Linked DNA regions of Sus scrofa. The protein of the gene in region 2 purifies or fractionates together with the protein of the main gene of each other region. This does not show direct contact. Links are inferred from orthologs where the notes say so. Each region holds a gene or a part of one and is shown on either strand. Other genes may lie near its edges.

What was found.
Region 1: the proteins of FBXW7 (region 2) and PRR36 purify together in Homo sapiens (affinity purification with mass spectrometry; 3 studies listed by BioGRID and IntAct, counting the BioPlex papers as one, with this or other methods). This does not show direct contact. The link is inferred for Sus scrofa from reciprocal best matches to the Homo sapiens genes FBXW7 and PRR36.
Region 3: the proteins of FBXW7 (region 2) and SOX9 purify together in Homo sapiens (affinity purification with western blotting; 4 studies listed by BioGRID and IntAct, with this or other methods). This does not show direct contact. The link is inferred for Sus scrofa from reciprocal best matches to the Homo sapiens genes FBXW7 and SOX9.
Region 4: the proteins of FBXW7 (region 2) and MED13 purify together in Homo sapiens (affinity purification with mass spectrometry; 5 studies listed by BioGRID and IntAct, with this or other methods). This does not show direct contact. The link is inferred for Sus scrofa from reciprocal best matches to the Homo sapiens genes FBXW7 and MED13.
Region 5: the proteins of FBXW7 (region 2) and MED13L purify together in Homo sapiens (affinity purification with mass spectrometry; 4 studies listed by BioGRID, with this or other methods). This does not show direct contact. The link is inferred for Sus scrofa from reciprocal best matches to the Homo sapiens genes FBXW7 and MED13L.
Region 6: the proteins of FBXW7 (region 2) and ENO1 purify together in Homo sapiens (affinity purification with western blotting; 3 studies listed by BioGRID, with this or other methods). This does not show direct contact. The link is inferred for Sus scrofa from reciprocal best matches to the Homo sapiens genes FBXW7 and ENO1.
Region 7: the proteins of FBXW7 (region 2) and HSF1 purify together in Homo sapiens (affinity purification with western blotting; 4 studies listed by BioGRID, with this or other methods). This does not show direct contact. The link is inferred for Sus scrofa from reciprocal best matches to the Homo sapiens genes FBXW7 and HSF1.

The regions. Positions count from the first base shown.
Region 1 is NC_010444.4:71,322,595-71,326,575, forward strand, and holds the start of PRR36 (proline-rich protein 36), read left to right. Parts: upstream 1-1,181; 5' UTR 1,182-1,239; coding exon 1,240-1,907; intron 1,908-2,471; coding exon 2,472-2,746; intron 2,747-2,861; coding exon 2,862-2,961; intron 2,962-3,188; coding exon 3,189-3,301; intron 3,302-3,394; coding exon 3,395-3,981.
Region 2 is NC_010450.4:76,695,027-76,699,151, reverse strand, and holds the end of FBXW7 (F-box/WD repeat-containing protein 7), read right to left. Parts: intron 3,268-4,125; coding exon 3,057-3,267; intron 1,741-3,056; coding exon 1,472-1,740; 3' UTR 501-1,471; downstream 1-500. UniProt on the Homo sapiens protein: Substrate recognition component of a SCF (SKP1-CUL1-F-box protein) E3 ubiquitin-protein ligase complex which mediates the ubiquitination and subsequent proteasomal degradation of target proteins.
Region 3 is NC_010454.4:8,644,516-8,648,479, forward strand, and holds the start of SOX9 (transcription factor SOX-9), read right to left. Parts: upstream 2,801-3,964; 5' UTR 2,798-2,800; coding exon 2,367-2,797; intron 1,416-2,366; coding exon 1,162-1,415; intron 590-1,161; coding exon 1-589. UniProt on the Homo sapiens protein: Transcription factor that plays a key role in chondrocytes differentiation and skeletal development.
Region 4 is NC_010454.4:36,417,241-36,420,740, forward strand, and holds part of MED13 (mediator of RNA polymerase II transcription subunit 13), read left to right. Parts: intron 1-1,308; coding exon 1,309-1,451; intron 1,452-1,622; coding exon 1,623-1,781; intron 1,782-1,898; coding exon 1,899-2,084; intron 2,085-3,500. UniProt on the Homo sapiens protein: Component of the Mediator complex, a coactivator involved in the regulated transcription of nearly all RNA polymerase II-dependent genes.
Region 5 is NC_010456.5:36,062,837-36,066,828, reverse strand, and holds the start of MED13L (mediator of RNA polymerase II transcription subunit 13-like), read right to left. Parts: upstream 2,801-3,992; 5' UTR 2,680-2,800; coding exon 2,608-2,679; intron 2,529-2,607; exon of another isoform or gene 1,972-2,528; intron 1,927-1,971; exon of another isoform or gene 1,630-1,926; intron 1-1,629. UniProt on the Homo sapiens protein: Component of the Mediator complex, a coactivator involved in the regulated transcription of nearly all RNA polymerase II-dependent genes.
Region 6 is NC_010448.4:69,398,865-69,402,801, forward strand, and holds the start of ENO1 (alpha-enolase), read right to left. Parts: upstream 2,801-3,937; 5' UTR 2,629-2,800; intron 2,305-2,628; exon of another isoform or gene 2,147-2,304; intron 1-2,146. UniProt on the Homo sapiens protein: Glycolytic enzyme the catalyzes the conversion of 2-phosphoglycerate to phosphoenolpyruvate. In addition to glycolysis, involved in various processes such as growth control, hypoxia tolerance and allergic responses.
Region 7 is NC_010446.5:483,666-487,637, reverse strand, and holds the start of HSF1 (heat shock factor protein 1), read left to right. Parts: upstream 1-1,172; 5' UTR 1,173-1,190; coding exon of another isoform or gene 1,191-1,335; coding exon 1,336-1,452; intron 1,453-3,972. Other genes in the region: ribosome biogenesis protein BOP1, read right to left, coding at 936-1,025. UniProt on the Homo sapiens protein: Functions as a stress-inducible and DNA-binding transcription factor that plays a central role in the transcriptional activation of the heat shock response (HSR), leading to the expression of a large class of molecular chaperones, heat shock proteins (HSPs), that protect cells from cellular insult damage.

The DNA.
Region 1 (3,981 bases), on a different chromosome or scaffold from region 2:
AGGGACCGAACCCGCAACCTCATGGTTCCTAGTCGGATTCGTTAACCACTGCGCCACGATGGGAACTCCTCTTTCTTTTTTTTTTTGGCTGCGCCCTCAGCATGCAGAAATTCCTGGGCCAAGGATCAAGTCCAAGCCACAGCAGTGACCTGAGCCACAGCAGTAATACCAGATCCTTAATCTACTAGGCCACCAGGGAACTCCTAACCCATTTCCTGTTGATGGACCAAGTTTGTAGAGTGGTCCAAGAGAGGAGAGTCCAGATCCCAGTGAAATGCAGGATGGGTTCAGTGTAGCCTTGGAAGGACCCTTGCACATAGAAGACAGGTGATCTAGAATGATCCAATCCAGAGGGCAGTGCCCTTTGGGGCTGTGGAGGTGCCTCTCTCAGACTGGAAGGAGGGTTCATGGGGAGAATGTGTTCTAAACACTGGCTTCCACTGGCCAAGCAGGATATTCAGTTCTGACCTTGCCCTTTATGTCTGTCTTCCTTCCCAAAACCAAATTCAGCTGTAGGAACAATTCCTGAGTCAAGAAAACCCAAACCCCTGCTTCTGGCCACATCCTAGGTAATCACAACAGGTTCACCCAGGTACCAAGTGCCATCCTTCCCTCTCCTGTACACAGAAGCTCCCTGGGATGATCCAGATGGCATGAGCTGCTGCTGCTCTGTGTGTGTATGTGTTTGAGAAAGAGACAGATGGGGTAAGGGTTGGGACAAAGGGAGCTGGCTCTTCTGGAAGGGTTTGTGGGTGGCTAAAAGTCTGGGAAGAGTTGGCTTGGGGGCAGAAAGCACAGTGTGAGTATAAGCACAGGCACAGGAGGTTGCCTGGAACTGTCAGCAGGCTCAGGGGGCCTGAGGAAGGCCATCTCCCTTCCTCTTCACATTTCTACCCCCTCCATGCTACAGTCCCCTATCCAGGTCCTCCATGAGGCCCCTGCACCAGTTGGTGTATCACTAAAATGACATCTTCCACTCCCTCTGGCTGGGCTGGGAAACTTCGAATGAGATCTTGTCCGCTCCTTTAAGGCACCTGTTTTTACACCCCAGGACCCCATAATCTCCTCTCCCCCAAGCCGGGCTCTGCCAAGATGCTTTGCTGACTTGACTTCATGCGACCTGGGAGAATGGGGGTGCTCTGCCCTGCAGAAGGTTGGACCACCTCTCATCATCCTCGATCTCTCCCCCTTGTCTTTCTTTTCTTCCTCTTTTCCCCCAAATCTGGGGTCTACTCCTACATGCCCAGAGCTGCCTTGTCCTCCGCCACCCCAGCCCAACCAGGTAGGGGGTTTCCTAGGGTCTGCGAAAAGCCTTTGGGTAGGAGGGGAACAGAAGTCCCAGGAACCTTGGGGTGCCCGCCTCTACAGTCGCTAAGGCAAGGACCTGGCCGGGGACACCGAGCTGCTGGATTGGACGATTGGGCACGAGGCGCGATGTTCCCGCCCCTGGTTGCCAGGGCCCAGCCTATCCGCGTCCAGGCGGGCCTTGGTCGCCAGGTGGTTGGGGTGGGGGCTGGGGCAGGTGTGTGTGTGAGAGTGGACGGGGAGGTGGGTTTAGGCTGGGTCCGGGACCCCAAGGAATTTCCCCACACGAAGCCCATCGGGTTGGGTGTCTGGGGTCCTCAGGCGCAGCCGCGGGGAAGCTGCCCCTCCTTCCTACGCCCACTGCCCACCCCCCCCCACGCCCCGCCACTACTCAGCGCGCTGCCGCCTCCGCCTCCCGGGTCTGCATCCTGCGCGCGCGCCCCCTTCTCCCCCGCCCGCGGCCGAGGGGCTGGCCCGCCTCCCCGCGCCGCCGCCCTCCGCCCCCTCCCCTCGTCTGTCCTCCGTTCAGAGCCGCCGCGGCGCTCCTACCCGGCCCCACCCCAGGAGACCGAGCGTGGAGCGGCTGGAGGCCGGAGCCAGAGGTGAGCTCGGCGCCAGCAGGTGGAAGGCGCCGCAGACCAGGGCCCAGCCTGGGGGAGGGGACGGGCTCCGGACGCGGCTCTTTGTTTCCTGGAGCCCGTTCGCGGGCAGCCGGGGCCGCTCCTCCTCCTGGCAGGTGCCTGCATCCCTCCAGGAAGCCCAGGACGGCGCTGGGGGTTGGCGAGGGAACCCGAGATTCGTTCCCGTCCTCCTCATCTAGAACCTATGGCAGCCACCTGTCTCGACCCTGGTGGTCAGGGTCCCTGAGGGGGCGAGTGGTGGTGGTGGGGTGAATCTCCCGTCTCGGTCCCGAGAGGGAGCAGAGGCGGGGGAGAGGGTGGGCTGAAGCAGGCAGGGCCTGGAGGAAAGCGGTGAGGGTGGGACTTAGGGACAACGGTGAGCAGCTGCGCTGATAAGTGTCGGGTGGGTGGGAAGTGGATATAGGCGGAGGTTTGGGCACCCATGGGTGGCGACGCTGGGGAAGGAGCTGAGAGATGCCAAGACCCAGGTTCCTGCAGGCAGTGTAGCTGTCCAGGACCTGGGATGCTGATCTCTTTCCTCATCAGGTGCGGTATGGACAAGAGGGACAAGTCCAGGGCAGGGGTGGCCGGTCGTACGCCGGCTTCTCGCTCTCCTGGCCTTCCGATCCCCAGGCCCCCTGGATCTCCACGACCCCCTCCCCCAGTAACCAGCGCGGCTCTCCGTGTTCTGGGAGCAGCGGGAGCTGCAGGGCGAGGGCCTCTTGCAGAGCGAGCTGGTGGCATCCGGGCAACTGCTCTCGCGGACGCTTCCCCTAGGGTGGGACAAACGCGGAGCGCTGGGACAGGCCCCCGAAGCCCAGGTACTCCAGCCTCTTTGCCCCATTCTGATCCCATCTTCTTGCCCCCGATCCTCTGAGGCCCCAGCCTACCCTTTCTTTCCGGGGCACCTGTGTTGACTTAGCCTTCTCCCTACAGCCTCCAGACCCCCAGGAGCTGGGAAAGGGGAGCGAGCCCTTGCCAAGACCCCAGGCTCAAGCTGTGTCTCTAGCCCGGGGCGTGCCAGTGGACCTACCAGGTAACATGCCCCCTCTCCCCTGGTCCCTTAGGCAAAGGTTAGTGTCTTCATCTGGAATGTTTTAATTAGTGTGTGGGAGCAGTTGTTCGTTACTAGGCTCATATTGGTGAAAGCTATTATTGGTTGGCAGAGGGCATATGCCACAGTCATAGATGGGGAAATGTAGGCTAGGGAGATGAAGCAAGGAGCTGGGACCCTGCCCTGAGCGCACCCCTTCCTGTCCCCAGGCTAGGCTCCCCAGGGCAGAAGGGGCTCCGGCCCCCAGCTGAGGAATCTGTGGCCAGAGGAAAAGCCCCAGAAGCGCCCAGAAGGAGTGCCCTGAGTGCCGGGGCACGGAAAGGTATGTGACATGGGGAGGAACGAAATTCCTGGGCTATGAGGGGGACCAGCCTAGAATGATCGGTGACCCTTTGGCCTTTTTCTTTGTCCCCAGACTCTTCTGGGTCCACCCCAGCCATCCCCTCTCCGGCCATCTCCCGTCGGTCCCGGGCTGTGGGCATTGAGGTGGGTGTCCCCAGGGCAGCTCCGAGTACCCGGCCAAGACTCCCGACTGAGGCTTCGAGGAAATCAGTGAGCACCGCCCCAGAGCGCAGTGCTCCAGAGCGCAGCGCCCCAGAGTCGAGCCCTGCCGCCAGGAGGAGATCCAGCGCCGGTGGAGGCCTCCAAAGGCCAACTGCGCGCCCCGTGGGCTCTACCGCCACCCCTCTGTCCTCCCCAGCTCGCTCCGGGGTCTCGCAGACTGGAACACCTCGGGCTCTGGGGCATCCTTCGCAACCCAAGTCCAAAGGACTGCAGGCTCTACGCCCTCCGCAGGCCACACCCCCAAGAAAGAGCGCGGCTCCTGTGAAGGGCCTTACTCCTCCTTTGGCCATATCCTCTCTTCCCTGTCCCACCGCAATGCCTCCCGGAATCACTGCCGCTCCAGTGCAGGGCTTGCTCCCACCCTCTCCACAGACCACACCCCCTTCCCCGGCCCCTATCTTTCATTTGGCCACGCCCCCTGAGCTAGCTCCTCCTTCT
Region 2 (4,125 bases):
AAAAAAAAAAAGATCACCTAAGATACAGTGTTAAACCACTTTCACAGTTCAGCTTGAGTTGTGGCTCTTGGAGAATGAGGCAAACCATCTCTTTCATTCATTTCGCTTGTTTGCTTGTGACGCCTTTACTACAAAAACTGGATAGTTTCTGCTTTGTCAGTTACTCAGAGCAATAAAACTGTAACAGTTGTTTTCCCCAATACTGTAAAACACTAAGACTGACCAGCAACTTTATTTTCATTTTGTGTTTTATATCTTTTTTTAAAATATGTTGTCAGTTTCATCGTGTACGTTCATCCATTCACCACAAGCCCTCAAAAAAGAAGTTTCTCCGCAGAACAGGCGGCAACAGCTCTGTTCCAAGGAATGTGTTTTAATTTTTGCCTAGATAAAAGAAAATAAGCTTTGCACACACTCTCGATTCTTTACTTGCAGGCAAACTCCACTCTTTATTTTCTGAAACTCTCCCATGCTCAGCCTCTTAGAGGCACAGATGGTTCAAGTTTCAGTGGCAAAAAGTCTTTTTTTTTTTTTTTTTCCGTAACCAAACTAGAGCAAATTTGGAATTCAGTCTGGGACTAAAACGTCACAGCAGAAAAAAAATAAAAAAAAATAATTTGCTTTTTTTTTCTTTCTTTCATGTAGCAGCATAAATAAGTTTGGCCACTAGGAGTACAGTACAGGGTGGGACAACGATCCCGTATTTGAAGACCTACTTCTAGCACCAGCATCAAGAATTAAATCCATCGTGGGACTCACAGAACCCAGGACAACTTGCCACCTTTGAGCAACATAGGCGTTGAAGAGTGTATGTGGAAGCAGTAAGAGATTAACAGAGGCTAATACTGTGATTGATTGACATTGGCAATGGTTGGCAAAAAAAAAAAAAAAAAAAAAAAAAAGCTTTTCATGATAACTGTACAAAAACAATTCACAGTAATTTTTTTTTCTTTTTTAGCTTTTCCACTCCAGAAAAATGACTTTTTGTTGCAGATGCTCTCTAGTCAGAAAGTCCGCCGGTACTGTGTGGATGGTATTGCAGCTTCTTTCCAGGTCTCAGTGGTAGAAGAACAGGCTAGCAGAATCTGTAAGGACGTCTCGGCGTGAACGCTGCCCAAAGACCACTGGAGAAGAAAATAAAGAAATAATTGCACCGGGGTGGATTGAGAACGTCTCATTTTGCAAAGCTGCCCTCAGTCCAAAGTGAAGCCTTCTGCGTGACGAGATGACAGCTTCTCTTGTCAGTTGTGGTTTCTCGTCTCTTCCTCTTTTCTTTCCGAGTCTGTCTGTAGGTCTTTTCTCTCTGTTGCCCCGAGCCAACATCCTGCACCACTGAGAACAAGGGATTTTTTTTCTTTTCCTTTTCTTTTTGCTTTTTTTTTTTTTTCTTTTTTCTTTTTTTTTTGGCAGGGGGAAGGGCAGGGAGTACGTACGTCGCCTAGGCGTTGGACAATGCCGTCCTTCCTGCGCGTCACTTCATGTCCACATCAAAGTCCAGCACCAGCAGCTTGGTCTCTTCCGTCCCATTGCGACTACCGACTGCACACACCAGCTTTGTGTTCGAGGCTCTGATCCGCCACACGACTCCCCCGCTCCCCCCACTCTCCAATGTGACTAGGTTGCGAATAAATTCACCCGTTTTCAAGTCCCACAGTTTTACAGTTCCGTCATCTGAGCTGGTAATGACAAAGTTCTTGTTGAACTGTAAACAGGTCACAGCACTCTGATGCTTGTTGGGACCTAGGCAAAACCAAAGGAATGCAATTACTGCTGAGAAACCCTGGCTATGGGTTGGTTACTCTGTCGTGTGCAGAAGCTACACTGGGATACACAAGCAATCAAAGAGGTAAAATGATGCACATCTAGAAACGGTGTTCTGAGGATGTGAGGATCAGCAGGGATGTGAGAGAGTCTGGGAGCTATCTGGAATTGAAACATTAATTTCTGAGGGTTCTGTCTTCCAGGAAGCGTGGTTAGCGACTAGACTGGGCATGCATCTGGTTTTCTGGCTGTGGGAATGAGCGATGCTCTCGGGGCTGATGTGGGCAGACCAGCTGCAGACACTGAGCCTGAGACCTGTGTTACACCACAGGTAGCCCACCAGTCACAGGCAAAACCTCAGGGACACTACTCCAAAATTCTGACAAAGAGACACAATCAATGAGCAAAAAAGCTGCAGTACAGTCCACCAGATGGTCCCCTTGACAAAAACCCCATTTTAAGGGCTATGATCAATAAAAAGAAATTAATTGTGATATAAGAAGTTAACCCTGTTGTGCCTCATTTAATATTAGTGGCTTTCCCATGTTTTCTTCTCCAGTTTAGGAGGCACTGTGGTTCCTTCCCAACTTATTTAAGCAGATGGTTAAAGGTCTAAGCTGAGGCAAAGCAATTTTCTAACAGATTAGAGATGATTTCTTTCTTTTTTTTTTTTTTTTTCAGTAAGGCAGCTCTTTAAAATTGGACTACAAATTCAAAATAAAGTAATGATTCAGGAGTTCCTGTTCTGGCACAGTGGAAACGAATCCGACTAGGAACCATGAGGTTGTGGGTTCGATCCCTGGCCTCACTCAGTGTGTTAGGAATCCGGCGTTGCCGTGAGTGGTGGTATAGACGAGGCTCAGATCCCGAGTTGCTGTGGCTGTGGTGTCGGTCACCAGCTCTAGCTCCGATTAGACCCCTGGCCTAGGAACCCATTGCCACGTGTGCGGCCCCAAAAAGCAAAAAATAAAATAAAATAAAATAATGATTCAAAAAATGAAGAGTACGTTGCTTGTGATGTGGCCAAGATCTCATTCCACATTAAGACTAAGCAGAGTTAATGTACATTTGAGAAGTGACTAAACAATTTTATATTAAAAACACAACTTAAAACACTTTCTCGGGGTAGCCTCATTGTGCCAAGTCAGAATGGAAATGCTCATAAACTTATCGCAAGGAAGTTTCCATATTGTAGGAGGTTAATTCTTTCTGTGACAGAAGAAGCGCTCCATTTCTCTTCTGACTGACAGGCTCCCTTCAGTGAGAACAAGTCAAGGTGGGGAGGCAATATTTACCTTGCAATGTTTGTAAACATTGTCCTGTTTTGATATCCCAGATTTTAACTGTGGAATCTGCATTCCCAGAGACAAGAATGTTGTCCTTGAGTTCCATTCCGCTTGTTAATGACTGATGTCCTGTTAAGGTGTGAATGCAATTCCCAGTCTCCACATCCCAGACTCGGATCGATGTATCAAGAGATCCACTCACCACATGGATGCCATCAAACTGCAACAGACACAGGTTACTAGACCACAAGGGTAGGTACTCTTGAGATTATTTATTGACCTTAATCCTAAAAGGGGAGGGGAGGGGAGGAAGTGTGAGAAACAGCGTATGCCAGGAACAAAATGAGGTACTAGGATAAAGCACAGGCAATCAAGCAAGTCTACCCAGCAAGTTCTTAGAAGCTTCTATCAGAAATGCTCATTTTGGGATTCCTGTTAGGGCTCAGTGGCAATGAACCCAACTAGGATCCATGAGCCCTGGCCTCAATCAGTGGGTTAAGGATCCGGCATTGCCATGAGCTGTGGTTGTAGGTTGCAGATGCGGCTCGGATCTGGCATTGCTGTGGCTGTGGTATAGGCCGGCAGCTATAGCTCCAATTAGAACCCTAACCTGGGAACTTCAATTCGACCCCTAACCTGGGAGCTATCATATGCTGCACTTTCAGCCCTAAAAAGCCAAAAAAAAAAAAAAAAAACCCCAAAAAACAAACAAACAAACCAGAAATGCTTTTTTTTTTTTTCCAGCCAGTGGCTTCAAACTAGATGCAAAAACAATATTAAAAAAAAAAAAAACAAACACCTAAAATGAACATATATTCCCATCATCTGGCCACACTGCGATGATTGCTCTTTGAGTTTTATTTCCCAATAGGAAGCTGAAGCTACTGATGTGGCTTATGATACAGGGTGTGCTTATCAACAGCCCCTAAGGCAGAAAAGGGCTAGAGATAACTTTCATGATATTTAAAAGTAAGTTCCATTAAAAGCTGTATGTCAAATAAAAATTCCATTTATAAGAACCCAACGCCAGATAATAATGTTTAGAATTAGAAGTGGCATTCTGATAACAAAACCAAAG
Region 3 (3,964 bases), on a different chromosome or scaffold from region 2:
AAGGGGCTGTAGGCGATCTGCTGCGGCGAGTGCTGCTGCTGCTCGCTGTAGTGGCTGGGACTCAGCTGCTCCGTCTTGATGTGCGTTCGCTGGGACTGGCCCGGCTCGCTGCTCAGCGTGGTCAGCGTGTGCGCCTGCGGCTGCTGCGGGGGCGCCTGCGGCTGCTGCGGAGGCGCCTGCGGCTGCTGCGGGGGCGCCTGCGGGGCCGGCGGGGCGGGCGGCGGCTGCTGCGGGGGCGGCGGCGGCGGCGGCGCCTGCTGCTTGGACATCCACACGTGGCCCGCGCCCGCCGGGGTCGCCGCGGTGCTGCTGATGCCGTAGCTACCCGTGTAGGTGACTTGGCCGTGCGTGGCCGGCACCCCCGGGTGGCCATTGGGCGGCAGGTACTGGTCGAACTCGTTGACGTCGAAGGTCTCGATGTTGGAGATGACGTCGCTGCTCAGCTCGCCGATGTCCACGTCGCGGAAGTCGATGGGGGGCTGTCTGCCCCCCTCTGGCAGGGGGCGCCCCTCTCGCTTCAGGTCAGCCTTGCCAGGCTGCACGTCGGTTTTGGGGGTGGTGGGTGGCGTTGGTGGACCCTGGGATTGCCCTGCAGGCAAAGAGAAAGAAGCACAGGGAAATCAACCAGGGCTGTGCCAAGGCTTTAGTTTTAGGAACCCTCCAGGGACCCTCCCGCCTCGCTCCAGAGTCCCGCATTCGCGAGGGAGGCGAGCTGCACCCGAGATAAACCGCCCAATGATTAACCCGCCAGTACACATTAGGCCTTCGCCTTTTATCAGGGGAGCGTCTGAGGCCCCGAGGGTCCGGAAGACCAAATTGCTACTAGTAGAAGAGCCCTGTGTGTGCTTTTGGGGTGGGGGAGCCAAGTGAAAAAGGGAGAGGTCCTGGAAAGCTGTGAAGGCATTTTACCTCGCAATAAAATTAATCTGTTAGGATGCTGGGATTAAGGTGGGGTGCGCGCGCGCGCGCGTGTGTTCATGGTATTTCTGGGGCCTTGGGCCGGGAGGGGAGGAGGACTAGGCATAGCGGTTAGAGTTTCCTTTCCCGAGAAGCTCAAAGTCCCTAAGCAGAGCCCACCAGGTGGTGGCCTGGGGGTGTGCCGGTCGGGGCCAGGCCGGGGTGGCGGCGGTGGCTTGGCCTGGGGGCCGGGAGGAGACTCACCCGAGTGCTCGCCGGGAGAGTGCACCTCGCTCATGCCCGAGGAGGAGTGCGGCGAGTCGGCCTGCAGCGCCTTGAAGATGGCGTTGGGAGAGATGTGCGTCTGCTCCGTGGCCTCCTCGGCCTCCGCCTGGCCGTTCTTCACCGACTTTCTCCGCCGCGGCTGGTACTTGTAATCCGGGTGGTCCTTCTTGTGCTGCACGCGCAGCCGCTCCGCCTCCTCCACGAAGGGCCGCTTCTCGCTCTCATTCAGCAGTCTGGGGGCGGGGTGAGGGGGGGCGCAGAGAAAAAGAGAGAGGGGCTCTGTGAAACCCGCCGAGCTGTCACATCCGCGGGAGGGGGAGTGGCCCCCACCACTTGGCCTCTTCCAACACTGCCCCCGTCGTCCCTCCTCCCCACGTTCCACCCGCTACTGCAGCTCAAAACTTTTCTTAAAAAAAAAAAAGGAAAAAAAAAAATCTCGGTTCTTCTAGTCGGACCTGAGCCGGTCCCTCCCCGCCCCGCCCTCTCCCCTTCTCTTCTATTTTGGAAGCCCTGAAGATGAAAATAGCTCTTCGCTGCTCCCGCTCTACAGGCCTTTGCTACTGGAGTTATACCCGCCCCCCGCCCCGTTCCGTCCCCAACATCCTTTAAAAACTTTCTAAAAAACCACTTAATCTGCAAGGAGCTCCTCCTGGCCCCGCCATGGCAGCCCCCCCCCACCTATTTCTAGCAGCCTCTCTTCTCCCCCGCCCCTTCCTGCCAGGGGGCCCTCTAGCTTCGGTTTCTCCCCCCACCCTGCATCCCATCTCTTTGGACGTAGGGCTTCACGAGAGAGGGCAGTTTCAGGCAAACAGAGGCAAACTTCAATTCCCACCCCAACCCCCCACTTGGGATTGAACTTCGCAGCGGCGGGAGATCCGGCTGGCAGCCCCCCGCCCCCCCCCGCGTCTCCTACAAGTGTTCTCCTCTTCTCCGGCTTCCCCCCCACCCCCGCCACGGCTCCTCCCCGTTCCACCTACCCCTCCCCCATTCCCCAAGAGCAATCCAAGAACTTTGTCAAACTGTGAGCCAAGTTATACCTCGTCCCTATTCCAACCGCCCCCCCCCGCCCCGCCCCGCCAGCTCTCGGACCGTCAACTCCCTCCTGCTGGGAGGCGGGGCGCGAAGAGACAGTCGCAGCCAGCGCCCCCCGCCACCGCGGAGCCCACCCTGCCGCGCCCTCCTACCTCCAGAGTTTGCCCAGAGTCTTGCTGAGCTCCGCGTTGTGCAGGTGCGGGTACTGATCCGCCAGCTTCCTGCGCGCCGCCTGCGCCCACACCATGAAGGCGTTCATGGGCCGCTTGACGTGCGGCTTATTCTTGCTCGAACCGTTGACGCGCACCGGCATGGGTACCAGCGTCCAGTCGTAGCCCTTGAGCACCTGGCTGACGGCTTCGCGGATGCACACGGGGAACTTGTCCTCTTCGCTCTCCTTCTTCAGGTCCGGCTCGCCCTTGGGGAACGTGTTCTCCTGGGGCCGCGTGTTCTCTGTGTCCGAGCCGGAGCCTGAAGGGCAGGGCGAGCCCGCCGAGTCCTCGGACATGGTGGGGCTGGGGGCGCCGGACAGGCCCTTCTCCTGCTCGTCGGTCATCTTCATGAAGGGGTCCAGGAGATTCATACGCAGGCCCGGGGCAGGGGACGGGTGGCCGGGAAAGGCGAGAAGCCGCGGCCGCTCGGGGACTCGAGGCGCGGGCTCCTCTCCCCTCGGCTGCCCGGACGCGGGGCGAGCGGCTCCCGGGAAGCCTGGCGCGTCACTCGGCTGCAGCGGCGAGCTTTTAGGAAGGCGCGCGGTGGCCAGCCCGCAGCTGCCCGCTCCAAGTGGGGAAAGGCGAATTGGAGAGGAGGAGGAGAAGAAAGAGAGCAAAAAGCAGGGGGCGGTTGCACCCTTTCTCTTGTCCTCCTGCAAAGAAAAGTTCCTGGGGGTAAAACTGGCAAGTCGCGGCGCCACTTAAGTTTCCAGTCAGTTTCAAGCTCCGCTCTCGGCTCTCCAACTCCCAGCCCAGGGGCTCTTTAATAAATACACCCCCTCACCTTAGGGACCTCTAGCCAATCACAGCACGGCATTTCGGGGGTTGTCAGGCAGCTGATTGGCGCAGTCTGGTGGGGGGGGGGAGGATTGTGGCTCTGGGCTGGGTGACTAGAGGGGAGGGGAGGAGCGGGGAGGGGAGCACTGCCGCTGGTCCGGCGGGTTTTGGGGGGGGGGGTGCTGCGGGGACCCGGGACCTACAAGTGTGTAAGTTTGCTGTACTCTCATAATGTCAGAATTCGGTACCGTCTCCGCGCGAATCTCTGCGCGCGCGCGTGTGCGTGTGTGTGTGTGTGTGTGTGTGTGTGTAGACTAGGATCTATCCCCACCCCCAAGCGTTTCTGTTCACTGCTTTCTCCGCGGTCTTGGGGACTAAGCCAGGGGAGTTTGCAGTATTCAAAAAACTGTAGCTCCTTAAAGCGTAGCCCAGTTTCCGCGCCTGGAGCTTGCCTCCTCCGAAAGTGCTTAGAAATTGTCTTTTGAAACAAATGTTTTGGTGACTCAACACCCGCTGTTCCTCTGTAATAATCCATATAAACAGATTAACATGCTCTGCTTCACAGGGACTGGTGCGGCCGGTTGGGATTCGGCTGCGCTCTTGCAAAGGGAATCAATGAAAACCAAAGCTAGGTCCCGGCTCAGGCTGGAGGTCGCGGCAACGCGGTAGTTGCGAGCTCGCGGGGCCGTCCCGCGCCTCGCCGACCTTGAACTCCGACAAGTCTTTCTCCAGCCCCCACCCCACCCCCCGCGACTCCCACC
Region 4 (3,500 bases), on a different chromosome or scaffold from region 2:
AATCCGACTAGGAACCATGAGGTTGCGGGTTTGGTCCCTGCCCTTGCTAAGTGGGTTAAGGATCCGGCGTTGCCGTGAGCTGTGGTGTAGGTTGTAGGCACGGCTCGGATCCCGCGTTGCTGTGGCTCTGGAGTAGGCCGGTGGCTACAGCTCCGATTGGACCCCTGGCCTGGGAACCTCCATATGCCGCTAGAGCGGCCCAAGAAATAGCAAAAAAAAAAAAAAAAAAAAAAAGAGAGAGACGCAGCTCTGGAGTCAGAGATCTGGATTCAAATTTCCAATCCTCACACTTACTGGCTGTGTGATCTTGAGAAAACTGCTTTATCCACCTGAGCTCTAGCTTCTCTGTAAAATTAGGAGGATAATTTTATCTGCCTCATTGTTAGTGTGCAATGAGGCATTACATGTTAACTGGGCATAATGCTTGGTATATTTTAAGTACTCAATAAATGGTAGCCACTGTTGCTCAGCCACAGAGCGCTTATTTTATGTACTTGCCTAATAAAAGACATACATGGAAAAAACACTACAGTGTTGTTTGTTCTGAGAAGTGTTGGGGTTTTTTGTTTGATATTCTTAAATTTTTAAAGTATGAAGCAAGGGTTGGCAAACTCCAGCCTGTGGGCCAATTCTAGACACACTCATTTGACTGCCTATGGCTGCTTTCATGCTGCAGTAGCAGCAAAGTTGAATTGTTGCAGGAGAATCTTGCTGGCCTGCAAGTTAAAATATTGGCCTTTTAAAGAAAAAGTTTGCTAATTTCTGGTGAAGAGCAGTGTTTATGGTGTATTTTGGTGGTTTGTGGACAGTTTTTATTATAAGGGTATGTTTTAATGTGTATTACAAAAAAAAAGATACAAACTAATATGCCAAACCTGTGATTTTGTGTATATTCTTGCTTAGGACTTGTGTAAAAAAAAATCAAGCATTAAAATGAAGGGACCAGGGGAGTTCCCGTCGTGGCGCAGTGGTTAACGAATCCGACTAGGAACCATGAGATTGCGGGTTCGATCCCTGCCCTTGCTCCGTGGGTTAAGGATCTGGCATTGCCGTGAACTGTGGTGTAGGTTGTAGACGTGGCTCAGATTCTGAATTGCTGTGGCTTTGGCGTAGGCCGGTGGCTACAGCTCTGATTAGACCCCTAGCCTGGGAACCTCCATATGCCGTGGGAACGGCCCAAGAAATAGCAAAAAGGCAAAAAATAAAAAATAAAATGAAGGGACCAGTTTTTCTGTATTTGAGCTCTTTTTGAAATGTCATCGTATGAATTTTAAAAATATTGATGACTATTTTTGTTCCATACAACAGGGCTCGTCGGAAAAAAGGATCTGCCAGAAGATTTGGTCTACAGAAACTTTGGGAGTGGTGCTTAGGACTTGTACAAATGAGTTCATTACCGTGGAGAGTTGTGATTGGCCGTCTAGGAAGGATTGGTCATGGAGAATTAAAAGGTAAAATTGTGCTTTTATTACTTAATAAAAGCAGAGAGTTTTGACTTGATGATGACTCTTGTTTGAGGAATATATTAATTTTAGAACCATTTGTTTTAACTTTTGTTCTATAGAATGTTAACAGTGTTTGTACTTCGGATATTCTTATTTTTTTACTGTTGATACCCACAGATTGGAGCTGTTTGTTGAGTCGTCGGAACTTGCAGTCTCTAAGTAAAAGACTCAAAGACATGTGTAGAATGTGTGGTATATCTGCTGCAGACTCTCCCAGCATTCTCAGTGCTTGCTTGGTAGCAATGGAACCCCAAGGTTCTTTTGTTATTATGCCAGGTTAGCTATCTTTAATTTATATCAGATTTAATTCTTTATGCACTTAAGTTTCTAAGTTTCATGTAAAATCTATTTTTCATTTATTAAAAGAAAACATGCCTTTTATTTTCTTTTCAGATTCTGTATCAACTGGTTCTGTATTTGGAAGAAGCACCACTCTAAACATGCAGACATCTCAGCTAAATACTCCACAGGATACATCATGTACTCATATACTTGTGTTTCCTACTTCAGCTTCTGTGCAAGTAGCTTCAGCTACTTATACCACTGAAAATTTGGACTTAGCTTTTAATCCCAACAATGGTACGTGAATTGTTCTGTAAAGGTTTGCAAATATAAAATAAATATGGATGATTATGGCTGATTATATATATAGATAATGCCTCCCAAAACATCTGTGTCCTGTGAATATTCCTGAAACCTGTGAATGTTACCTTATGTTGGGGGAGAGGGGAAAGACTTTGCAGATCAGATTAAGTTAAGGATCCTGAGATGGAGAGTTTATCCTGGCTTTAGCAGGTGGACCCAAAGTACAATCATATATATCCTTATAAGAGGGAGACAGAGGGATGTTTGACTATACACAAAAGAGAACAAGAGTTCCCTGGTGGCTCAGTGGATTAAGTGTCTGGTGGTGTCACTACTATGGCTTGGCTTATAGCTGTTGCGTGTGTTCAGTCCCACATGCCATGGGTGTGGCAAAACAACCATAAGACAAACAGGATGTTTTAGAGGAAAGTAAAGAAGTAAAGCCAGGGAAGTTCTTGTGTGGCACAGTGAGATAAGGATCCGATATTACTACAGCTGTGGTACGGTTTGCAACTGCTGTGCTGCTTCAGTCCCTGGCCCCAGGAACTTGGCACATGCTGTGGGTGTGGCAAAAAAAAAAAAAAAAGGTCAGAGGGAAAGACTATGCTGCTGAATTCGAAGATGGAGGAAGGGGCCATGGGCCAAGGAATGCAGGGAGTATAGTTCTAGAAGCTGGAGAAGAGAAGGAAGCAGACTTTCCCGTGGAGCCTTCAGGGAGAGCAAAGCCCTGCCAGTACCTTGATTTTGGCCTAATGACCAGAACTTTGGTTTCAATCCAATACAACTGATTTTGGATTTCTGGCCCCAGAACTATAAGAGAATAATGTTTGTTGTTTCAGGTCAATAGGTTTGTGGTAATCTGTTAAAGTGCAATGGGAAACTAATAAAATCATTCTTCTACCTCAGTATTATCAGAATACTGTGAATTATCCCATAAATGTTTACTTAGTTTAAAGGCAACATTAATCATAAAATATATGTACAAATTTATGCTCATAACCTGTACATAAACTTTGCAGTTCATTTTATATTCTTTTCTATTTCGTTCTTTTAATGATTTTTATTTTTTCCATTATAGCTGGTCTGCAGTATTCTGTCAATTTTCTACTATATAGCACGATGACCCAGTCACACATACACATATGCATTCCTTTTTCTCACATTATCATGCTCGATCATAAGTGATTATAGTTCCCAGTACTATACAGCACGATCTCATTGCTTATCTCTTTTCTATTTTGAATTTTTTTAAATTTTTTAAAAAATTTTTAATTATTTATTTATTTATTTTTTTTTTGTCTTTTTGCTATTTCTTTGGGCCACTCCCGCGGCATATGGAGGTTCCCAGGCTAGGGGTCGAATCGGAGCTGTTGACACTGGCCTACGCCAGAGCCACAGCAACGCGAGATC
Region 5 (3,992 bases), on a different chromosome or scaffold from region 2:
GAAAAATGTATGCTATTATTATGCACCACAAGTTCTTATAATACATGCTTTATTTTGAGCAGGTGATGATTTTATCTCCTTTGGAATGAACAATTCCAAACAATGTACTTTAGGCAAAATATTTTTGATATTCTAGGTTGCTGCTATATCTAATTTTCAAGAAAATTCTCAATTTGCAATGAGTAAAATTTATAATTATCAACAGCTCTGAATCCTAAATTTTTTTAATTTGTACCTATCCACTTTCTACATACAATAGAATGTAGACATTCTACAGTCCTTTAAAAAAAAAAAAAAATCAACCCAAACAACGCTGCAGTTCTGCATTTCAAAGTTGCTACCTAAAGAGTAATTGTTTTTTTTTTAAAAAAAAAGTATATTCAAAAATCAATTCCTGGTTTAAAAAGGTTAGAAAATCTAAAGCATAAACCTTCAGTCAGTCATAAAGCACAGCAAAGCATACAAATTGCCTCTCCAAAAGAATCTTAAGCATCTTATCTCTATAACATTATCATTCTTACTTAAGCTTTAAAAAAAAAAAAAAAGATAAAAAAATGATATCTCCAAAAGACAGGCTACACATGTACTTTGACTTGTCTACAAAACGTACTGTATATAAATTAGCCACATACATACAAGCCGTTGCTAGTCAGCATGATATATGGTAATTTGGAATCTCTCCTCACTAATACTGGTCTACTCGGTTATTTTAATTCCCTGTTAAAGTGTCAAAGTGGTCACCAGCCGCCAAACAAAAACCATTTAAATACCCCTTAATCAATACGTTTGCTAATCTATGGAAGTCCCTGCATCTGACTAATACTAAATGACAGACTGAGAGGAGCAAAGCAGCAGCAAAATGAGTTTTAGTTCCACATAGCAAAAGATCAAGGGAAAATTTTCACAGTATAAAGAAGACTCGCAACTTATCATTGATTTTTAAGATTAAATATCTAAATAAAAATGTTGAAAAAACTGACTTGACCTTATTACAGTGAAAGCAAAGATACTATGTCATTGGGTCTTTGCAGGTAAAAATCACGTTTTGATTTTTTTTATCTGCATAATGAAATTTATTTAAAAAAATAAAGCTTCCATTTGAAAAGTTGGCAAGAATCTGTATTTCTCCACTAGTCTCAAAGAAAAAAAAAAAGCATCTATGCTACCCATAATTAAATGCAACTAATTACAATTTGAACACTAAATTATTTATCCAGTGTAAACAAGGATTAAGAGAAAATAATGCTCCTATCTACAGCAGGGGTTACAGAAAACAATTTCAAAAATGCAAGCTCTCCAAAGGCAGTCCCCCCCAAAAAGGATACAAAACTTAAAATAAGTTGGGGTTTTCTTTTTTTAAGGCTAAATTAAACAAACCGTTCAGCCAATTTTCCAATTATATTCTACGCCTGAAACATAATTGCCTTACATCTGTTTACAAATCTTTGCTCAATATTTAAACAAATTCGTAGTCTCCCGGGCACATAGCTATATATACAGTAACCCATGCACAAAGCACATATTTAAAGACCACGCACTGCAATTATTAGCCTAAACGCCAGGTTTAACAACGTGAATGTTTTCAGAGCTAGGTAATACGACCCAATAAAAAGCAAAGATGGCATTTACCACCAAATGTCACTGCCACCGCCAGGAAAGAGTTGCTGGAGCCCTATACATTTTTAATTTCGCTGAATCTAGACGCCGTCGTCGGGTGCCAGGCTTCCAGGAGAACAATTGACACCCTAACTGCTTCAAGATTAAGGCAGGCGATTCAAATCCGAAGGAAAAGTTGTCAATTATCAGAGAGAGAGCGCGAGGGAGATGAAGGCAGATAAAAGCGATGTTATCAAACCGCCCAGCTTGTTGCTGCTGCTGCTGTGTGTGTGTGTATGTGTGTGTGTGTTAGGAGAGAGAAAACAGTTTTTTAAAAAACACAGGAGGAGAGAAAAAAGAAAAAGCTTTCTCCACCTTCCGTCGGCTCGGTGCAATGGCTTTACGGCTCTCCAGCGTAGTAAGCCCCAAGAGGCAGGCGGCTGTCGATGTTTACAATCGCGGGAGCTTCGGGTGCAAGAGTCCTTTACTGACACAATCGCATTCAATCAACTGTTTTCGGGCGAAATTGCAGGTGTCATTATGGAATTTTTTAAAAATTCAAAAGGCGGGCGGGCGGGCAGCCCATCCGACAAGGGGGGAAAAAGGCTGCTTATCGCAGGCGCGGGCAGCACAAGGCAAAGCTTTCCACATTTAGGAAAAAAAGGGGGGGAAGGGGAGGGGAAGGGGAGTGCGATGGCAACAGAGGGTGGGCGTTCGAAGTGCGACCCAGAATCCGCAGCTTTGAGACTTCTACATGCAAATTCCACGCCGAGCGCCGCGCTCACAAATGATTTTTAAAGAGCCAAATAAACACTGGATGGGATCCAAGGCGAGGGAGAGACGATCCAAAAGGGGGAGAATCAGCGAGAGGCGAACGGCGGGGAGAGGCGAGGGAGGGGCGAAGTCCCGGCGGCGGGAGGAGAAAGTTGGTCTGCGGCGGAGGTCGGCGGCGGAGGTCGGGGACCCCCCCCCACCCCGGCATAGCCCCCTCCCTGCAGCCCGGCTACTCACCAGCGAGAAGAGGTTGGAGTGACAATCCTCCAGGCTCGCCCCGTTCGCCACCCAGTTCGCTGCCGCAGTCATGATCCTCCGCGAGCCCGGCCGCCAGAGCGGGGCATGTCGGAGCGAGGCGTCCGAGGCGAGGCCGGGCCGGGCGGCAGCGCCTCGCCGGAGAGCGCGGGGCAGCCGGGCCGCCGCCGCCGCCGGGGGAGGGCGGGAGGGCCGCCGGGCGGGTGGGAGGCGCCGCGGCGACGCCGCGCCGGGGGCGGCGGGCCCGGGCCGGCGGGGGGGTCCGCGGCGGCCGCGCGGCTCCTTCCTGCTCCCGCGGCGGCGGCGGCGGCTCCGGCGGCGGCGGGGGGCGCTGTCCGCGCGGCCGGGCGCCCTCCCCGCCTCTCAGGGCCGCCGCTGCCTCCCGGGCCGGCGCTGCGGGCCGGCCGCCGCCTCCGCCTTCCCTGTTCCTCAGCCGCCGCCGCCGCCGCCGCCTTGTTTATCTCCAGCCACCGACTCCCCCTCGGCCCCCGCCGGCGCGTGAGAGGAGGCGAGCCCCGGAGCCGCCGCCGCCGCCTCGGAGCCGCCGCAGCCGCGGAGCGCGAACTCGCGAAGGGGGGGTGCGGACGAAGCCAGCGGGCGACCCCGGCAGCCGAGCGACGTCCCCTCCTTCCTCTTCCTCCCCCACCCCCCCCTCCTCCTCCCCAGTCAGCCTCGCTTCTCCTCCCTCCCCGGGCTCTCTCACTCTGACAGCAATGGCGGCCGCCGACCGCGGCTCGGCCCGCCATTGGCTAGCGCCCTATCACGTGACGGGCGCCGGCCGCGCGGGGAGGGGGGACGGGGGAGGGGCCCTGAGCGGCGGCGGCGGCGGCGGGGCTCGCGGGCGGCGCTGCTGAGCCGAGTGCGATCGGATTCTCCGGCCGGGAGAAGAAGGAAGACGGGGAGGGAGAGAAAGAAGTGCGGGCGGCGCGGCTGCCGGGCTGGCAGCGGCCGGGCGAGCGGCCTCAGGCTGCTGTGCGCTGCCCCGCTTGGGCGCCGCGCCCCGCCCCCTCGGGTGCTAGGATCTTTACGCGGCGCTACCTCACCCCCGGAATGCCTGTGGCAGTGGCCGCGGAGAGCTGGGGCCCCTAACCTGTGCCTCTGACGGCCTGGGCGACTGGGTGGTGGGGCTCGCTGTTGGCCAGACAGCATGTCCACGTGTCTCAAGGTTTCACTCTGTCGTCCGTGTTTTGCAAATGAGAAAACTGAAGCACAAAGAGATTAAGTCACTTGCCCACAGCTGGGAAGAGGAGGAGATGGGATTCAAACCCCTGCACCCATGCACAGGGAAGCTAAGCTCTTGCACTAAGGTTTATTACCCTCGCCCAGGAGCGCTTACTGAATACCAGGCACTAAGAAATGCAGAAATG
Region 6 (3,937 bases), on a different chromosome or scaffold from region 2:
GGGGAAAATCTGGTATGTAATGAATTAAAAGTTGGGAACATAATGCATCAAGTTAAACTTGAGGTTGCAGCAGGATGTTCAACTGGGAGATATTGCATAATCACCTAGAAACTCTGAGTTTGGAGGCCTGGAGTGGGCCCCGGGTCTGTGTCAATTTCCGGGCCTTTCATACCTCACAGTAGTTGGGTCTTTAGCAAAGAAGGACACACCAATAACATTATCTAATTAGTGGTCCTTTCAATGGGCATTTTATTTTACCCCATTTTAAAAAAACTTCATTATAAAATGCCATGATTTGTAACTAGAGGAAAGAGTCTATCTGTGGGCACTAGGGTGTACCAAGGGAAGAGGCTTCCTTTGAAAACACCTTAAAAAACAAACAAACAAACAAAAAAAAAAACAACAAAAAGGATGGAAATAACAAGTCCTCAAAGAAAGCTCCCTTCTTGCTTCTCCCCCCCACCCCAACCCAGGGCTCAAAAAGGAAGAAACTAATTGAACGACCTGTAGGACTGGGAGGAACTAAACTGAAGTTCAGAAGCCATTATCTAGCTGGGCTCCCCTCCAGGGTCTTCTCTGGAATGTTCTGAAGCAGCAAATAGCATCTTTTTTTTTTTTTAACTTTCAAAATTAGATACTGAAGTCACTTCTGTGGCTTTGTTGTCTATGTAACAATGGAGTTTTATTCATTAGCCAGGAAAAAGGTATCTAGTTTCTGTTATCGTACAAAAAGACCAATTTGTTTCAACATATTTTTTAGTTTGAAGATTTGGTAACTTTTGAGTTTTGGCAAATCATATACCTCTGTAACATGTTCATCACCCAGAAAAAATCCCCTTTAAATAAAAAAAAAGAAAAAGAAGAAGTCCCCTTTAGCCATTTCCAGCCCCTCCCCCAACTCACCACTGATTTTTTTTTTTTTTCCTTTTAGGGCCACACGTGCATATAAGTTCCCAGGCTAGGAGCTAGATCCGAGCTACAGCTGCCAGCCTACATCACAGCCATAGTAAGGCCGAATCTGAGCTGCATCTGCGACCTACACTGCAGCTCACTCCAAGGTGGAATCCTTAACCCAATGAGCAAGGTCAGGGATGGAACCTGCGTCCTCATGGATGCTAGCTTGGGTTCGTTACCACTGAGCCACAATGGGAACTCCCCCACCCCTGATTTTTGCTTTGAAGTTGTGAGGATTTTATCTTTTGTTTCATTTTAGCTATATTAAGGCAATCAACTTATTTCATGATGTGAAAAAAATTCAACTTCTCTTTAAATTGGATAGAAAAACTTTTCCCCAAACTCATTACAATTCAGGGATCACAGACTGGTGCGTCAGACTAGCTTTTTATCTGCCTGGACTGAACCCCGGACCAGGGGCAGCGTGAGTGGACCCGCCGGCCGCCACCTAGGTGCGCCGAGGGCAGGTCAACAAGTGGCCCGTACGGCCCATGGGGAAGACCTCCCTGCAGAGGAAGCACAGAAAGAGAATTTTTCTTAAAATACATCCTTTTTATGTTAGATAAGGGGCCGATTGTTGGTGGCCAGCCGGGGGAGCCGGGATCGGCTCGTGCCCGACTTGGGCGAGGTCGCTTGGAAGGCTTCCCAGTGACCACACGGCTCGGCTGCAGCTTCCCCATGAACAAGAGCCTTCTGAAGGCGGATCATGCCTGCTCATCCCGGAGCAGCGACGGGCTGGACACCCAGACGTCAGGCCACCAGCAGGAGGCAGGGGCTGCGCTTCCCGGGCAGGTCTCCTTTCCGGGCCCCTCCCAGCATTTTCGGAACGGCCTGGCTTTAATGAGCACGCGGGTTGGGCCTGGAGCACTCCCCAAACCATCCACTCTCACCGCCTGCTGTCCTGGGGACCGCGTGCTCCACCCCCGACTTCCCGGGACAGTTACGCGGCTCCGAAACACGTAATCACAGGCTGAGCTGCATCCTTCCCCTTCGGAGAATCCCGGCGCCGCGCCCTCATCTCGGGCGGCGAGTCTGGCCCCGGGGAGCCGCTCGCGCGCGCCGACAAACCCCTTCCCGGCCCCCGCCGAAACCCTGGGCACGCCGTCTGGGGGACAGGAGCGCCCGCGGGCCTGGGGGACCCACGAGCCGCTTCCCCGGGCGCTTGCTCGGCAGCCCTCCCTCGAGTCCTCACCCGGCCGCTGAAGGTCGCCGCCCGAGGAATAAGCAGAGGGAGCTGCAGACGCCGAGAGCGAGCGTTAAGCCAAAAGGTCCGGGCGCTCCGAGTCCCCCCAGCTAGTCTCTGCGCCGCGGGCCTGGACTTCCTGCCCTGCTCAGGAGACCCCGCCCACTTCCCGCCCCTCGGGCCCGCCCACTCCGTGCCGCCTCGCCATTGGCCCGGCGCGCCGTCACTCGGGCCCTCCCCTCCCAGGGAGAGGCGAGACTGCGGTGGCCGCCACCGCCCAGAAGAGGGGGCGACATCCTTCAGAGGTCGGGCGGGGCTGGGCTGGGGGCCTGACTTCCCGGCGCCCGGGATGGGGGGCGCGCGAGCCCCCGCCTCCTTTCGCTCCCGCCCCACGTGGGGACCCCAGGCTGAGCCTGGTCTGTGCCGCCTGGGCCCCGGGGCAGGGGCGGGGCGGCGCGGCCGGCATGAGGGCTCGGGGCTCGGTCACGTACTCCGAGTCCCGCACGCACGCAGCGTCGCTCCGGCGCCGCACGTCCGGCCCACGACCTTGGTGACGACCTTCGCAGCCCGCCCTTCCGGGCCGGCCCACCCCACTCCCCGCAGCGCTGTGCCCGCGACCCTGTCGGCCTGGAGACGTTGGCGGCCGCGTGGCCAGACTGCGCTCCCGCGCCGCAGAGCCGCTAGCCGGGCCACGTGCGCCCACTCGCGCCTGCGCGCCCGGCCGCCCGCCAAGGTGACCTGGTTCCTTTGTCCTTGTCGTTGGTCACACCTGAGTATCAGACCGAGAGCCAAAAGGAAATTGACTTTCCCTTAATTACACACTTCCCACGTGCGTGCCCTGGGTTAGTTCGCTGTGTGGATCTTAATGTTGCATGTGATGCTTTGAGATTGGAATTTCACATAAACCTGGAGATTTCTCAAAGTTCAAAACAGGTAACATTACACTGTAGTCTGACAAATGAAAACAGGCAAGAGTGGGCGCAGTTATTTTCTCTTCTTGAGAAAGAACTCACACCCATTTCAGATCAGTTCTGCACGCTTTCCCTGCTCAAGGGAGGGCTTCCTTTTCTAATGGAGTTACTTTTCGTATTTTCCCAGTTTGTGAGTTTGTAAGCTAAAACAATGTCATACATTGCCATATTTTCCACATCGTCTTGCATAGATTCATGTATGTATTTGAGTTTAATCGTTTCTTCTGGCCAGCTGTAAAAACTTGCTGTACTTCCTTAACTCTTAGAGTGTGGTAAAGGTGAAGTCCTATTGAGTCCACAATCATTTGTTTTCTATTGACTAGGAAGAAAGAACTGTAGGATTAAATTCAGCAAAAAAGCGACAAGGAAATTATAAAATGTTTCCTAAAAAATTATATGAACTCGGCAAGGAGAGTTTGTGATTTCACCGGCAATACACTGATGTTTCAGACTTCTTAAAACCGTGGTCCCAGCCCCATGACTCAGCAGCTAAATCAACAGCCACCATCTCCTAAACCTTAAAAACTCTGCAGAAATCAGACACTAATTTTTAGAGCAAGTCTAAGGTGTAGCCCACAAAGGGCTCCAAAGCAATCTCTTTCATTTTATGTTAAAAATGGTTAGAGAGATAAAGGTGGAAAGACAAGGCTCTCTGGCCACAACCAGTGATTCCTAGCAGGGAATTGAATGTAGAACATGATCTCAGACAGCTGCTGTTGCAGGATTCTTGGAGCCCGACTGCACAGTGTTGAGGGCACAGCGTTCTGAGCCAGCACTTCGACCTTAAATCGGAGCTGAAATGTGAATGATTAGTACAGATGCCCTCAGA
Region 7 (3,972 bases), on a different chromosome or scaffold from region 2:
CTGAGCAGACTTCTGCCCACCAGACACCACCCCGGCCCTAACTCCACCAGACAGGGTGCACGGTGGAACAAGAACCTGCAGACTCTTAGCAAGCATTCATTGGAAGGCAAAATTCTAGATTTCATTGTTTTTCAATAGTTCCTGAGTCTCTCGCCAAACTGGACAGCCTGCACGGAGCAGCTACCAAACAGCACTCAGCACACACTCTATCGTGCCTAACTAGCTACACAATTACAACGGCAAGTAAAAATGGCACAAATGTTTTGGGCACAAACACAAACAGCCGCTGATGAATACAGAGGCAAAAGCACTACAAGTGGGTGAGCATGGTGCCCAGAGCTGCCTGCCGGCCAGGGAGCACCACGAGCACTTGTCACAAGTGAAGGGGCAGCCTGATAAACCAGCAACGTGGAGTCCCAGCTGCGAGGCTCGACTGCACAAGCCTGCTATGGCTTTCTACCACCGAGATTTGATGAGATTTGATGACACCCCCACAGCGCGGCTGGGGTTCCGCTGGACAGGAAGAGCATGAGTCCAGCTAAAACGGGCCGTCCAGTGCAGCAGGCGCTGCTTTCTCATCCTCGTTTCCTCTTCTACAACGTCTAACGTGTCAGGAACATTTGGCTATACAAGCAGCTACTGCAGGCTCAAATCTTCTGCGCCCAGATGACAATTCAAAGGCCCAGGAAGACCGCTGCGCAGGACGCCGGCTCTCCTTCCTTATTCTCTCCGGCCCAGACCTTCTTCCGACCCACACAACCGCCAGCCAGCTCCCTGCCCAGGACGCCCCCGCAAGGCCGCCGGGGCGGAGGACAGGAGACCCCTCCCTCCTCGCATTCCCAGGCCCGCCGGGCGCTGGGCGGGATCGCTCCCCGGCCGGTGCCGCGGCCCAGCCCCGCCGCCCCCCCCCGCTCCCGCTCCCGCTCCCGCGTCACCTCCTCCGGCTCCCGCCCCGGCTCCAGCATCCGCTTCCCGGGCCGCGTCCCGGCCACCGCCACGCGCCGCGCGCCCTGAGGTCCCGCCATGCCGCCCGCCGGTCTGCCCTGCGCCGCCACTTCCGGCAGCGACGCGACCGCGTGGGCCTGGGGGCGGGCCCGCGGGGTCAGAGGGCGCCGGGCGGGACGGGGGCCGGTGTGCGTGCGCGCGCCGTGGGACGCGGGCGGCGCCGGCGGGAGCGCGCCCGTCGCAAGATGGCGGCGGCCATGCCAGGCCCCGGGGCCGTGTGTGCGCAGCGGGCGGCGGCGCGCGGCCCGGGCGGCAGGCGCGGCAGCGGCGCTAGCCCGGCCCTCAGCCCCTCCTCGCGGTCCCGCCTCCGCCTCTCCCACCTTGCCCGGTATGGATCTGCCCGTGGGCCCGGGCGCGGCGGGGCCCAGCAACGTCCCGGCCTTCCTGACCAAGCTCTGGACTCTCGTGAGCGACCCGGACACGGACGCGCTTATCTGCTGGAGCCCGGTGAGGGGCCGAGGGCGCCGGCCCGGGGCGGGGAGGCCGCGGCGCGGGGGCCCAGGACGGGCAGGCCCGGACCCCGCCTCGCAGGCCCGGTGTGGGGGTGGGGAGCAGGGGGTAGTGCGGGGAGAAGCGTCGCAGGCCCGCTGGAGGTCGCTCCTGTCCACGCCGCTCTCCCGCGTTGGGTAGGAAGGGCTTCTGCCTCCGTGGGCTTGCGCTTGCTGCCTGTGGGACGACTGCGGGACGCGTCTGTGCTTAGAACAGCCCCCGGCTTCGCTAGTGGACGCTGGGCCCCGGTGGCCCCAGAGTTCCAGTGGTGTGGTGGGCAGTTATTCAGGGTAAATCAAGTCTCGGCCCTGGAACTGGAGGGCGTTTCTCTAGTTCGAAAGGAGAGGGAGCGAAAACAGAAAGCACAACGTCATAAAGTTCAGGCTGGTCTCGAGCCCGGGTCCAGATCCCAGAGCTGCTTTCCCAAGAGCGACTCGTGTTTCTTGCTCTGTGCGCGACTTTATTCACGCCCTGTCTCCCGTTGCCTGGCAGCGGGCAGGTGATTTACATGGTCTGACTCCGCAGGCTGGACAACTCCAGTTTGCGGAGGTTGGACTTGGAGATGGACGTCCTGGCTGTGACGTCGAGGTGGGGCAGGTCGGAGCCACGGCTCGCGGCTGGCAGGGGGGTGGCCTAGGCCACCGTAGTCGTAGGCAGGCTCCGGGCGCCTCCAAACGTGCTTACTCTCCTGAGCGCCCAAACGCTGGATTTCTTGGACCCCACTGAGTTGTTGCCTGTCATCCTGCTGAGCCCTTGGAAAGGAAGAGCAGTCTGGGCTGAAAGGAGCCCAGAGCTGGAGGCCACGTTCTCTCGTTCCACTTGTCCCTTTGAGGAGACCAGAAACCGTGCTGCATTCCCTTGGGGACACTGTGTGTTGTCCCAGCAAATATCCATGTGGCGTTCTCCATCCCAGGCCCTGTTTCTTTAACGGTGGGAACCACCCCTTGTTCCAGGCCTTGAACTTTGCCGGCCAAATGAAATGACCCCATTTTTCTGTCTTTTTCCCTTCTCCCTCTTCTTGTCCCTTCCCCGTAACTCCCGTTTGGGGGAGGGCACCAGAGGTCCTTTGGGATGAACCTACTGTGGGGACATCCCGCCTCTCAGTCTGCTCCAGGCCAGGCGAAGCACAGCCAGCGTCAGCTTGCTCCCCAGGCCTCACGGCCTGTATTCCAGGCAAAGCCTGGAGCAGGAAAGCGGACATGGTCCAGCCCGTGATGGTCTCTACTCAAGGTGGCTGCGCCCCCAGGCATGGTCTCCCTGGGGACAAGCGGCCATGGAGCAAGAGCTTTTGATCCTCCTTAGTCTGTACACAGAGCGAGTAGGGTGTGCTTGGTGCAGGACGCAGTGGGGCTGGCCCTGAGAAAGGAGACCAGCCCCTGCCTGGGGCCGGCAGGGTGCCCACAGGACCCCCGGGCCTCTGTCTCAAAGTCCGCTTGGAGCCCTTTGCCGACTCGCAGCCTGGAGTCCTGCTGTCGGAGGCCCCGGACAGGTCTGACGCCTGTGCCCTTGGCCCTTCCCCTTTGTGCTGGAACTTTGCTCATTGTTCCACCAGGAGAAAACCTCTGCCTGTGGCCCAGGGAATGAGGGGGAGGAGGAGGTGCAGTGGTCGACTCTGTGGTCTGCGTGATGCATGACCACGGGCGGGTGCCAGCCCTGGGAGCTGGGGCCGGCCAGCGGGTCGCTGCTCCAGAGGCACGTGTTGGTTTGCCCGCCCTTCCAAAGCCTTGTCCCGTCAGATGCGCCCCGTGCGGCGCCACGGCTGAATAGGCAAGGGCTCCCGCGGGAGGGGACTTGGTGACCGGGAGTGTGGCCTTGGGAGTGCTACCACCACGCCCCCTGGGACATAATGGGAGTCAGACCCTTCTGGCCAAGACTGAGGGCCTCTTTCTCCCAGGAACCGGACCTTGCCAAGGCCACCAGCCCAGGTGGCCCAAGTGAGTGCCACACTCAGGGATCGCTTGAGAGGGGCTAGTGTCCAGGTGGAGCACGGTCTCCGTGGTCAGGTCCCCAGCTCCCTGTGAAACCCCTGGCCACTCCAAGCTGGCAAAGGACCATTTCCAGAGACCCCAGGACAGGCAGGGCCGCCCTCTCCCCTGCCCGGAGCCAGGCGGGCCCCACCAGCCTGCTGAGCTGGTCCTCCGTGCAGGAGCCCGCAGTTGCCCCCGTGCTGGCTTCGAGGGCCACTGCAGAGCCTGGAGGTTCCCGGGGTCCCTGCACCTGATGAGCGTGCGTGGCCGCCGAGCAGGCCTCTGCCTGCCGCAGCCAAACCTTTTCCACACGGAGCCTGTCGCGCCTCCCATTGCCCTGCACGAAGGTGAAGGTGGCCTTTTTACAGACGCGAAACCTGAGCCTCGGAGGTGACAGGAAACGCGAGGAAGACCCTGAAGTGCACAGGCCCTTTGCCCGCCTGCCCCACCGACCGCGCTCTGACCGCGCCGAGTGTCGAGTCTCCAGTCGGGCGTGGGGTCCAGCTCGGGC